Kluyveromyces lactis: one gene and its partner. The protein of the gene in region 2 interacts with the protein of the main gene of each other region in a biochemical or structural test. Links are inferred from orthologs where the notes say so. Each region holds a gene or a part of one and is shown on either strand. Other genes may lie near its edges.

Region 1 (6,417 bases), on a different chromosome or scaffold from region 2:
CACAGTGCTTTCGGTCATACCTTCCAGTGTGGACGTTTTCAGATTTTCCAACATTTCCCCAAAAGTACAAATCATGCCCGTTGGACCTACGTCGAATACGCTATCTACCGTTGGCTTTACAATCCAGTCAAAATCTTCGTCCTTCGAGATAGGATCCAGTTTCCATGATCGTGAAGATTTATCGTCATTCAAGAAGTGAGTTTCAGTTAAATGATCAACCACCGGCCAACCGTACGCATTAGAGAACCTTCTTCTGGTGATGATATTGTTGTGAGCATCAGGCTTCAAATTTATAATGACTTTCCTCCATTTGACGTCTTTATGCCAATTTCTTGCTATTTGTTCCTCCAATTTTTTATACTGCCCGCCAAAAGCTATGTTAAATGTTTTAAGTAGAACATTTGAGCTATTCATGACCTCCAATTGGCTATTAGATTGATGATCTGGAATATCCTGTCCGCTGTATACTTTATCATGTACTACAACGTCTTTCCTTGTTTTCGGATCAGTTATATAAGATTTGTCAGGTAGTGGAGGAATCAATACTGAGTATGCAGAATCAAGCATCGATGCCACAGGTATCTTTGTTCCGTTTTGTGAGACCCTCTGAGGCATCAATATATCCATGGCCTTAGTTAGCGGAGAGATGAAGTTCCTTTGAAAGAAGTCTGTCTGTAAATCTTCAGTATTCATGTTAAGCTTATCCAAAATATCATCATAATCTAGAAATAATAGTGCGGATGTGTATAATGGTACAATTCCATCATTGCAAGCATTTGCATACACTGTGCAGCTTTTAAAGCATTTTAGAATCCTTCTCAAAGCAGACGAGCTGGATAAAGTTTGTAGAAGAGGCTGTTTAAGTCCATTGTATGTTTGTAGGCTGAGATCCTGTCCCGTCTTACCGGCAATACCCATTGCCAATAGCCGCTGGATATAAACTGCGTTGTCACTAACAATCCCAAGCATGGGAGATGCCATTGTTATGAAGTTTACAGGTTCAACCTGTTCAAAAAACTTTGGATAGTTGTAAGAGATATAAGCAATTGCGAAGGATTGAACCAATCCGCCTAATGAATGTCCAATGAATGAAATTTTTACAGTAGCATCATTGTATAGGTTATGAACTATATGTTCGGCCAACCGGGTCCCTAGCCATTTTATGCCTTTCTCTGTCTTGCATACATTGTCGGTGAATCCTTTCACAACTAGCATTTCCTCATGTTGGTTTTGAGTCTTCTCAATCTGTTCCTTGATATAAAATAAATCCGACGTAACGTTAGAGTGTAAGCCATGCGTAAGAATGACGAGATGCTCTTTTCGCCTACCAAAAACACTCTTTGAAAGCAACGATGCATTCCAAAGATCTGCGGTAGTCAGTCTATCCACTTTCATTCTTGAACTCTGTACCCCCAACTGGATATTTCTTGCTGAGTCCACACTTATTGATTCCTTACTACCACCTACGGTGATAGAAAAGTTTATCGATGCCTGTTTGGTAAATAAGATTTGGCTTGCAATGTCAACAATCCATACGTACCGTTTCTTCAAGTTGTGCAATGAAAGCTCCGCAATAAAATCCTGTTGCGGTTGAATATTAGACTCAAACTGAGGTTGATCAGCAGAAATGAATAATCTTTGTTTGTGGTGGTAATCCTTCGTTCGCACATCCGCGTACAACACGTAGGGCCCCATCAAATACGCTGCCCTGAGCGTCACGTTTTCAATGTTTTTGATCTTCAACCACAATGAATCCAACGTTAAATCACTGGGTATCTCATCTCCCATATAAAGGTCATAAGTGAAAATATATCGCTCTAGCTCCCCTATTCGCAACGACGACTGGAAATGGTACATGATATCATGATCTGATGCAGTCATTTTTAACCACTGATCCCGTTGGTGCTTTGCATTTTGTCTCATCGTTGAAGGGATTATGTATCTAAGCATACTTTGCATTTTGACACTTCAATTTCTCCAGTCAAAAATCGTATAATGGTTCGTATAAAGAACTGGGTGAGAAACAGCAACACACTATACACCAATACGTACCCTCGAGTGAGGTTTCACACTAGATTGATGTTCAGGGTGCTTTCTTCTATACATATATGCAACTTTATTTTATACTATTTACAGTGTAAATCCAATTATCATTCCCTGGCGCAGAACGGTGTTTCCAACTGAATATTTGATCAAGCTGACATGTCCTGAAGTAATTGCTTAGCCTTCTGCTCAGAACTAAACGCGTCCATAGCATCAATTACATCATCTAGCCTCTCACCCTTCATGACCCCCTCGATATCATATAGTGTGAAGCCACATCTATGGTCCGTGATTCTATTCTGTGGGTAATTATAAGTTCTGATCTTGTCAGATCTGTCTGTCGTGGAAACTTGATCTTTCCTTGCATTCCTCTCTTTCTCCTCTTTCTCAAGCCTTTCCTTTTCGGCCAACCTTGCTCGTAGGATAGCAAAGGCTTTGGCTTTGTTTCTGTGTTGAGACCTTTCTTCCTGCATTGAAATCACAATGCCTGATGGATAATGTGTCAACCTGACAGCAGAATCTGTAGTGTTGACATGCTGCCCACCTTTACCACTGGCTCTCATGACATCGATACGAATCTCATCTGGCTTGAAAGTCCTCTCGTATGCATCAGATTCACTTTCTTCACCCATTTTGGGTAGCACAATGACGGCCGCAGTGGAAGTATGAGTTCTTCCCTTTGATTCTGTGGCAGGCACTCTTTGAACACGATGAACTCCGGCTTCGAATTTCAATTTATCATAAGAACCTGGTTCATCTATATTCAAGATTGCTTCCAGGACTCCGCTACCGCTTGCGTTCTCAGTTTTTGATATTAGGTTCCATTTCCATTTATGATAATTTGCATAGTTAATGTACATGTTCAACAGATCTTGAGTGAATATCATAGCTTCAGAACCACCGACACCAGGCCTTAGTTCTAATATACTGGGTTTATCTGCAAAAGGATGAGGCGGTAGGAGTTTATTCAATAAAGAGTCCCCTGTCTTGTTCAAATCTGGGAGTAGTGCTGCTATGTCTGCTTCGGCTTCTTCTCGTAATGATGGATCTAATTCCAGTATCTCCTGTAGTTCTTTATACTGATTGACTTCTTCTCTGTATTTGGAATACGAATCCACAATCGTAGATAGTTTGGCAAAATTCTTCTGTTTCTCAAGATCGAAGGATCCACCCTGCGACAACAGGTCCTCTAACTCTCGCAATTCATTGACATACAGCTCTGCTCTTGATATTAGCGATGAGTGCAATGGTCGAAATTCGACGGCTTCAGAACTGTTAAATCTGACTTGAAGAGCCACGTTTCGAAAGAACTTTCCTCTTCCAAACAATTTTGAGATCATTTCCCCAATCGAATGTAGTTTTTAACTCTGAAGATCCGATGGTACTTCGTTTTGATTCACCATACACTTCTTCCTTTACATAGCATAATATGTATCAAACTTTCAAAGATTTTTCATATTTAATATAGAAAGGTCCAAGCTTCTGCCAACATGCAGATAGACATTTGATGTTTAAAGTCATCGTTGGATCTGGGAACTGATTCTGTCATACGGTAGAGCTCGAAGTTATAAACCATGACCCTAAAATCTACTGTTGATGACTATACTAAGGAGAAAAAGGCTGGTGAAGGTACGTATGCCGTGGTTTATTTGGGAACTAAGAAGTCCACTGGAAGGAGTATTGCGGTGAAGGAGATCAAGACCTCACAGTTCAAAGATGGACTTGACATGTCAGCATTACGTGAAGTGAAGTTTCTACAAGAGTTGAAGCATGTGAATGTTATTGAATTAGTAGACGTTTTCATGGCAAACGATAATTTGAATTTAGTGTTGGAGTTTCTACCTGCCGACTTGGAGATCATTATTAAGGACACTTCTATTATGTTCAGTCCAGCAGATATTAAGTCCTGGATTCTAATGACTTTGAGAGGTGTACACCATTGTCATAGAAACTTCATACTTCATAGAGATTTGAAGCCAAATAATTTACTATTAGCACCTGATGGTCAATTGAAAATCGCAGATTTTGGTCTAGCCAGACTAATGGCGTCACCACAGGAGATTTTGACCAGTAACGTTGTTACCAGATGGTACAGAGCACCGGAGCTCTTATTTGGTGCAAAACACTACACCTCTGCGGTCGATATCTGGTCTGTCGGTGTTATATTCGCAGAATTAATGTTGAGAATTCCTTATTTGCCGGGGAAAGATGATGTTGATCAGATAAACGTAACATTCCGTGCGTTAGGAACTCCTACTGATGCGGATTGGCCTGAAGTTTCTAGTTTTAGCAATTATAATAAGATTCAAATATATCCACCTCCATCGAGAGAGGAATTGAGAAGAAGATTCATAGCGGCTACGGAAAATGCACTTGAACTGATAAGTGGGATGATGATAATGAACCCTAAAAAGAGATGGGATGCAGTCAAGTGTCTACAAAGTCAATATTTCCAGGAATTGCCGGAGCCTACACTTCCACAAGATCTTCCTAAGCTCAATAAATGAAAATACCTAGATATATTTTGAATAGAATACGAGGATATGTACGAAAAAAAAGTTCATTATTGCATGTTATCTGTTATTCCTAACCGTGAAGTATCTTCTTCACGTATCTCCCGATTGGGATACTTGACGTTAAACCTGGAGATTCGATACCTAGCAGGTTAACAAACCCCGGGAATCCTTCTTCTTCTTTAATATAGAAATCTTTGAATTCTGTGTCACCTGGTGCTGCTAATTTAGGCCTGATACCGCAGTATGAAGCCTCTAATTCACCTGGTTGCAGATGAGGGAAATATCTTGTGATGGTTTTGGCAGCGTCTTCAATATTCAGCGGGTTTGGGATCAGATCATCCGCAGAGTCAACATATTCAAGATCAGGACCGAATCTCACTTGATGATTTAAATCAATGGTCAAATGAGTTCCCAATGATTTGCCATTTCTGGGAGGCACAGGATAGATCAATCTTCTCACAGCTGGAACTTGAGTCTTCGAAGTGAAATAATTGCCCTTGGCATAATATTGCTTTACCTGACGTTCAGGTGGTAAGATCATATTAGCAATCTTGTCTGCATATAATCCAGCAGCGTTGATAACATTTTCTACACGAATCTCGACTTCTTCTGCAGTACCATTCAGCGTTTCCACGCATTGGAGAGCGTAGCTAGATCCTAAAAATTGAATATCCTTAACTTCAGATCCAATCACAGTATCACCCCCCTGGTTATCAACCATAGCAGAGAGGTATTCTATCAAAGAATGTGAGTCGATGATACCCGTGGTTGGAGATACAAGTGCACTTCTTTCGACTATTACAGCTGGCTCTTGCCATTGAGTCTTGTGACTGGGCAAAATTTCTACTGGAAGATTTAACTCATATTTCGCTTTATAGTACATACGTTCAACATATGCATCTTCGAAATCAGTTTGTGCCACAACCCACTTACCACATTTCAGCCAATCGACACCAGTCTTCCTGGGATTCAATTCATTGTATATGATATGGTTTCCTTCAATACAAAACTTCGTTTTTAACGAATCTACTGGGTAATACAAACCAGCATGAATCACCTCACTATTACGGCTCGAAGTTTCTTGGCCAATCTTTGCATTCTTCTCCAAAACAATCACTTTATTGCCTGGGACTTTGGTAAGTTCGTTGGCAATAGCCAGTCCGACTACACCTGCACCGATAACAGCATGCGAATAATCAACAGGAGCCGAATAAAAACGTGAAAACAATGGTCGAATCAAAGAGCGACAATTAGCTTGGAATTTTAGCACCATTGATAGATATTGATTGTGTATTGACACCTACTTTCATGCCTTTAACTTAAATAATCGGACCTTATCCGATTATGTGTAACGGTTGGTAAAGAATCATTTTATAGAAACTCGAATTTTAACCAGGAAAGGATCAAAACCAAATACATCATCAAGTTCTTACGCACAAATGGATCAAAGGCAGACCTACAGGATTAAGCAGAACGTTAGGCTTTTGTGAGATCTTCCAGGCTTTATTCGAATCTTCTGATATACCCGAGAGCTAAAACTGTTTTTGTTCGAGATGCTTGGTTTTAGAAGCTGTATCTTGGTATCAAGCAGGAGACTGATTTCCAGTTTAGCCAACAAACGGCCACCATTGCATGAGATCTTCCCACAAAAGAAGATGGTTAGCAGGATATTGTTTGAGCTCGATAGTCGGCTTGCATACAATAAGCTATATCCTATGTATGAGAAGCTTTATGAGGGACTAGACACTGGTAATGATGTTGATATACCCAATAGCATCAAAGGGAAAGACTTAATGATAATGAAAAAAGTTCTTGAGAAAGTGAGGCATAAGACTAAAGCTATCAACAAGAACCTATT
Region 2 (7,072 bases):
CAATTCTTATGGACATCCAACAAATTGATGATCCGTAATACCAATTGCAATTCACACTCTTTTTTATCAACTTGGGTTCTAATTTTCAACAAATGGTATCTCTTTTATCTAATTGATGATATGTATAAATAGCATCTCTTTTCGTATATTTTTTAAGTAGTTCAATTCAACAATTGAATCATATTCAACAAAATAATCATGATCATTCTTGCTATAACAAATGCGAATATATACATATTTACGGGTTCATTAGCTTGTTGGTTTCTTTTATGTCGTCAAAGGTATGATAAATCCGTTTAGAAGTCGGATTAACCTCAAATTGTCTGGCAATGAAATGGTACTTGCTGTTTATGACGTATTCATCAATATTAACGTGATCCTCAAACAATGCATAAAATAACCTTACTAACTTTCCCGTATCCGCTACGGTTAATTGTGACCATTCGATGCTATGCATAAGATCTTCACCGATGAGCTTCCATTGATAGTCTTCGGTTATTTTGTAAAGATAAATTAACGACTCAATGAGTTCGAAAGGTGGCCTTGTTGATACCACCATATCATTGACATAAAACGGCCAAGTATGCAGCTTCCAACACAATTGTTCTTCATTTATGTCTTTGACGTTGGGTGAGAAGCTGTGCGCATCCGTGTTCGTATAGTGTTTTGATTTGTCTTCTGTCGTTTCCGTAATTTTGACGCCTTGCTGCATGGTGTTTGATTTATAGTGTCCAGATTTGATTAGCGCAATCTTAGCAGTTGGATCAAACATTCCGAAAGTAGGAAGTTTTCTATCCAATGCCACAACATCTGGAATTTGATCTAACAACTTGTATAATTCGTAATACCCCTTAGTGATAGCCTTTGCTTGCTCGATCAATGATGAATCATTAAACAAAACGCTAGATATGGATAAAAGTGAACTCATTTTAGCACCATCTGGCGTCACCTTGTATTCTTTCCCGATAGAGACTTCGTTTCTATCCTCTAAAACGTCGAAATGAATGTTTGTTTTAATACTGGTTGGAAGCAAAAGATCCTCTAAATCAGATGGAAGCCACGGCTGAAATAGCATTGTGTCATTTATCATCTTAATTGAGTGTAACAACGATTTAGTGATAGACTTTTCAGCCTCTCTTTTCTCAAACAGATTACCGTTATTAAGATGATAAGCCTTCAAAACGGTCAAGTATAAATCGATTGTATCCAGTGTAATGGGATTTCCATCGACATTATGTTGAGGAAGTAGCGATTCCTTGATAACACAATGAATATACTTACCATTTTGCATAGACTTCAAAACGTTGGATTCACGAAGGTGGTCTCCTTTTGCAATTTTTTCATCAGATAAAGGTTTACAACCACTTGCGTCAACAAAGGAAGGGAAAAGGTAATCTATATCGAATAAAAGCACGGATCTTGACATCGTCTGCAAAGAGTGAGAAACAACTGAGTCAAATTGTGGGTCATTAGTTATGTGTGACAAAGTAAGAAACTCAAGTATATTAGTTGCTAACATGCTAGTTTTTGTCTTTTTGAAAGCGTATCGATTTGGGACAGATGTTTTCCAAAAGAAAGGAATCTGCGGTAAATAGTTTGGAGTGTCGTAACTGCGGAGCAACATTTCACCTATTATCGTTATCAACTGTAACAATTCAGGATTCTTCTCTTTCCTATTACCAATTACAGCTAATAATGAACCTAAAATCTCAGATGACCAGACCCGTTGATCCATTGGGTCATCAAACTTATTAAGTACAGCGGTCACGGTAAGAAGTGATTCATTTCGCTGTAAAAGTGAGTCCGTAGACAAAATGGAAATATTTGTTTGCAAATCCAAGTAGGCATGGTCTGTAATGCGGTTTATTCTAGCTGTCCAATGATACAATAGCTCGTCCTTTATTAAAGCGTTCGAATGAATAGATGACACTCGATTCAATTGCGGATACTGTTTGCTAATTTGTTTGTAAGGTATAACAGTTTTTTTCTCATAGAAAGGATGGAAGGGGTGGAATGGCTCCTTACTGTCATAATTTTCCGACCGATACTTCAAGGCTTCGTCGCTATTCTCTAGCAATATGGGGAAATACTTATTCTTTTCAGACAAACTCGACTTATCGGTCAGCTCCTTGGATATTTCATCGTGTGTAATTTTATCTGCAGAACCAGCTACAGGAGCATTATGCGAATCTTGGTTCTGAATCAATGGTAAAGAATCAGTGTATGCAAAAGAATTAAGATGCTCAATCTCATTTTCAAAGGTATAGTAGAATAAAACGCTTGCAGTAATGAGCAAAAGCAGGATTGATCGGCATTTCCTCCATGTATGGAGGAGTAACCTTAGAAACATAGTCCTCTCCTATGTGTTAATGTTCCTGTGAGATCGTAGGTCTAGCTAATGGGATAGACATGAAGTAGTTTATAACTTATCTATTTCGTGAATCCAATATCGTGCTTGTATGTTTTTCTAATTTGAAAACGGATTTTGATCTCATCTCTCAAGGTCACAATAGTCCACTCAAGGACAATAAATCGAGGGAAACTGCCAATGGATTCAAATGAAATTTCTGACAACCGGTATTGTTGTCACCCCGCCGAAGTTTTAAATATGGATACCGAGAAGAAAGTTAGCACACCATCTGTCGAATTGAACGAGATGAAAAGACAGATGTTAGTTCAGAAGAAAGAGATACAAAGATTAAAGCAGGTTCAACATTTTATGGAGCTACAAAGAAACACTACTAGATAGATACCAAGAGTTGCTCTGCCGATATTCTCAGATTACCATCGAATTTGACCATGCGTAGCCACATCTTAGCTAATTTTGGGTTGTCCGTTATGAGAGGCATCCATTTGTACACTTGAATCAGTTGTTCGTCAATTGGTCTCCTATGCAAGAAATTATCGCTTGAAACATTCCCGAACATCCCATTGAATGATTCATTTTTAGTCACCTGAGGCCAATCCTCGTTACTGGGTTTCCCAAACTTATCAAATAAAGTGAGCACAAGTTTTATGTCAGAACATTCGTCGAAATCAATGTCTATCACTTTGCTGCTTTTTGATTTGGATTGTGTTTTATCGTTCCAGAGTTGAGAAATCAACACAGCTAATGCCCAAATATCTATCTCGAATTTGTAATTTGACACGCTAAAGAGAAGCTCTGGTGCTTTGTAAATTGATGTGGAACAATCACAGGTCTTGGCCTCATTATCCAGATTCCTATTGTAACTTATACCGAAGTCCCCTAATACGACTTCATTGTACGAGTTAAGCATGATATTCTGCGGTTTGACATCCCTATGTATAATGCCATTACCGTGTATATAAACTAATCCCTCGATTATTTGTCTTATAATCACTGTCGAGTGATCGAGTGGTATGGTATTTGAATATGTTTTTGTAGAATTATCTAACAAGTACGGATTGTATTTCGCCTTCCAATGTTGGTCCATGAACTGGTTTAAATCGCATTGATACCGTTTGAATTTGAATGTAACATACCTTGGTGAGGTTTCAGAACCGAGCAAGGGTATCACATGCTTATTTGATAGTGTTTTCAAAATTTCTAACTCAGTATGTGCATTATGAGGAGGTCTTTGCAACTCAAGATCTATCCGTTTCACCACAATGTCAGGAAACAATTCTAAATCAGCGCAACCTGTTTGAATCTTAATTGGAGTTGTCATATTTGTCTTGTTTGTCATGTAGCCAATGTAGGTTAGTACGCTATACCCCTAGTCTTGTCAGTGACAAACCCAATGGTTCAGTTTCATGTCCGAAGAGATTAGAACTAATCTATAATTTCCGTTTTATGTCATTAATGTGATAAATGAAGGAAGGACGACAAAAGACAAGGACGACAAAAGACAAGGAAAAGGTGTAGCATTTTGTAGTATCGCAAGGAATCACTATAATTACTAAAATAAAAACACGTATGTTGAAGGTTCTATAATTGTACAAGTAAGTAAGATGTATATATAGATACATAAAAATGGGGAAAGTTTGATCCAACGAAGACAGACATCAATTAACTAAAAGGGAAGAGATGGAAATTCAATTGGTAACAGGTATCCGAGAGAGGGGAAATGAGATATCGTACGAAGGACATGTGTTTATTGTGAGTAGGAGAAAAAAAAAGTAGTCATAATCATAACAGAAAAGAAAACGAGTAGTTACAGTCTTGAATGTAGTTCGTTATGGTGTGCAAATGCATGCAAAGTGGAGTGAAGAGTCTTGAATCGAGAAAGAGCGACTTACAATTAACCTAAGAAGCTTTGGTTGTGACGTAAACTCTGTCATCACAGTCACCTTCTACTTCTTGTTTGATGGCCTCCATCTTTTCGACTTGGATTTCCCAAGTTTGTTTGCTCTTCTTCAAAGATTTGTTGAAAAGTTCTTGATCTGGTTCTCTGTAAGAACCACCCAATCTATCCCATAGGGTAGTGAATTGTCCGTAGTTGTAGTTGAAATATAGATGGTGCACAGTGTGGCAAGCAGCACCGTTAATGACAGGGTCATTAGCCAGATATTCACCGTCGTGGATCATTACAGTCCAGAAGTTAACGAAGGTGAAAAGAATCAAATATGAAATTTTTTGCAATGGGAAAATCATTGGGTAAAGATGGTATGGCACAGATTGCATGTAACCGTCCACTGGGTGGAACGCATGCGACGCATATGGAGTGGTAACCAACCATTTGTGATGAGGCTTGTGCAAAGCCCTGTAAACTCTAGGCCAGTGCAACCATCTATGAACCAAATAAATCAAACAATCGGTGAACATGATGAAAGAGATCACTTCAAACGCAAGTTGACGAATTCCAGCCCATGATTTATAATCGATATCGAGGTAAAGCTTCGAATATCCGTTCAATTCGAACAAGAACCATGGTATAGTCAACAGAACCATCACTGGGATGGCACTGAATGCCTGTTTCATTTCCAACGACATCTGGTTCTTCAAATAACGGGGATGATTGAAAACAGCCTTATCAAAAACGAAAAGGTACGACATCGTAGCGACACTGAAGTACAAAGCCCATCCAAAAATTGTCATCAAGACAAACATCGTTAGCGTTTCTCTAAACAAATTATAACGAGGGAAAATTGATTGGAACGTATAATCAGTGAATTCCAACAAGAATGGTTCATAACCGTACACATCACCAGCTGGCTTGGCTGCAGTGCCGTTTAAATTTCCTGTGTTCAAGTCCAAAAACTGACCAACACTATTGGTAACACTGCTGGGTAGCATATTCACAGGGAATACTTTCCCATAAACGTAATCCAACAGATACGTATCACAAACTTCCAATAATAAATCCATGGTGTGTATTCGAATATATGTATATCAGCTTGGGATTCTCCCTCTACTGTGTTTTGCTTCTATATGCCGACTTATTCCTGCTGCTTTTACGATCTGAATCTAGCAACTAAATCAAACTGGCTAACTCATCGCCTTATATACATATATTATTTATATATCAGTGTGTATAGAAAATATCACGATTTCATTTTTAACTTTTTTTTCACGAAGTTAACCAAATTGAACGATAAAAAACCCGAGTTTTAACGATAGAATGCGAAGAGTATCGAGCCTCATCGGTCCATTTCTTCAATAAGCATTGGCTTGCGAAACCAAGCCGTTCATACCGTTATCACAGCTAGTCTATACGACTAGCTCTTTTCTTCTAGAGTGTTTACGGCGTACTTTTCGCAAGTTGTGGCCTGTTTTTCTGTCGCCAGTTGGGCTTTGATGCACATTTCAGCACCACCCAGTTTCCTTTCTGGTACGGCAGTTTCTGGGGTTTCCTAACTGTTTTTTTTTATTCGCTTCGTATTATGCTTTTCATTCTTTTCGTTCCCTCGAGGCGAAATCCCGTAAACGACGTTATACGATTGGCAGCATTACGTTTTTTAAACGAGGAAGGGAGGGAACCTAGGCAATGGACCGATATATTACTCACGTGATTTATCTTTCGCTTTGTGTATGATTAAAGTCTGATTATGTATATATAGTATATTACAGACATATATCGGTTTGACCGTTTAGAAGTTGAATCAAAGCTTTTGGTCTTCGACTTGGTCTCTGGTCAACCAGTGGAGTGCAAGCGGGTATAAACTCTTCATGTAGCCTAGTATCACGGTGTGTCGTCCGTTGTCCTTTCGCTCTTGGACGCCCTCTATTTCCTTTGTAAAGTGGATATCACGTTGGTAATCCAACGTTCTTGTGATGGTGCCATCTTGCAAATGGATAATCTCATCAGCCCATGGTGCTAGCCCATCGAAAATGTGCGTTGCATACACAACGCTACATTGTCTGTCTCTCGTTTCTCGATCCAGGAATTGGAATAGACGGTCACGTGCCACGACATCCAAGTCCACAGTGACTTCGTCTAATAGCAGAACTTTGAAGGGTTTCAATAAACCCATGCACAGTTGTACACGTCTCTTTTGGCCATCGCTAAGTTTGAACATTCTCCAATTGATATCCACTTCCAAGATTCTCACTAGCTCTTCACCTCGAGCCCTGTAGTGGCTTAGTCCGATACTCTCCAAGAGTTCCAGGACTCCTATATCCCTGTGTACAATAGCCATACTAGCCCATTCAGTGCCTAAGTAAGTAGTCAGTATCACGGACTCCTGGTCATTGTTTGGTGCGAATGGGTTCTTGTTTCCAACTTTTATGTTCCCACCGAGACACAAATGTTTACCACTTAGTAGTTTCAACAGCGTAGATTTTCCAGCACCGTTGTTACCCACCACTAAGACTTTCTTGTTCCATTCGACACTTAGCGATAGATCGTGGATTGCTGAGCGTTTACTTCCGGGGAATGCGTACGTTAGATCGTGCACTTCCACTGCTAGGTCGTTCGAGGCCATTATTTGTTTTGGCTTGTAGTTTTCAAAGGTTTGAGTGACTTGTTCTATAGTTAGATACCGATTGAGCGGTGATTAGAAGCTCCGCCAGTGTATAATAGGATCGTTATCTTGTTGTCTCCATTTGAAAGTGTTCTGATTCAATTTGATATTTGGAAAATAAAACTGTTGATATTGAAATGATTTCAAC

The links.
Region 1: of the proteins of CAK1 (region 2) and KIN28, one has a biochemical effect on the other in vitro, tested with the Saccharomyces cerevisiae proteins (2 studies listed by BioGRID). The link is inferred for Kluyveromyces lactis from reciprocal best matches to the Saccharomyces cerevisiae genes CAK1 and KIN28.

The regions. Positions count from the first base shown.
Region 1 is NC_006041.1:1,321,876-1,328,292, reverse strand, and holds KIN28 (TFIIH complex serine/threonine-protein kinase subunit KIN28), read left to right. Parts: upstream 1-3,617; coding exon 3,618-4,550; downstream 4,551-6,417. Other genes in the region: putative lipase ROG1, read right to left, coding at 1-1,959; MRF1 (Mrf1p), read right to left, coding at 2,193-3,383; KLLA0_E14763g (NAD(P)/FAD-dependent oxidoreductase), read right to left, coding at 4,630-5,832; MSS2 (Mss2p), read left to right, coding at 6,113-6,417. UniProt on the Saccharomyces cerevisiae protein: Catalytic component of the TFIIK complex (KIN28-CCL1 dimer) which is the protein kinase component of transcription factor IIH (TFIIH) and phosphorylates the C-terminal domain of RNA polymerase II during transition from transcription to elongation after preinitiation complex (PIC) formation, thereby positively regulating transcription.
Region 2 is NC_006042.1:821,852-828,923, reverse strand, and holds CAK1 (cyclin-dependent protein kinase-activating kinase CAK1), read right to left. Parts: upstream 3,708-7,072; coding exon 2,742-3,707; downstream 1-2,741. Other genes in the region: putative mannosidase MNL2, read right to left, coding at 239-2,350; ERG3 (C-5 sterol desaturase), read right to left, coding at 4,268-5,329; putative ATP-binding cassette family ATPase CAF16, read right to left, coding at 6,064-6,885.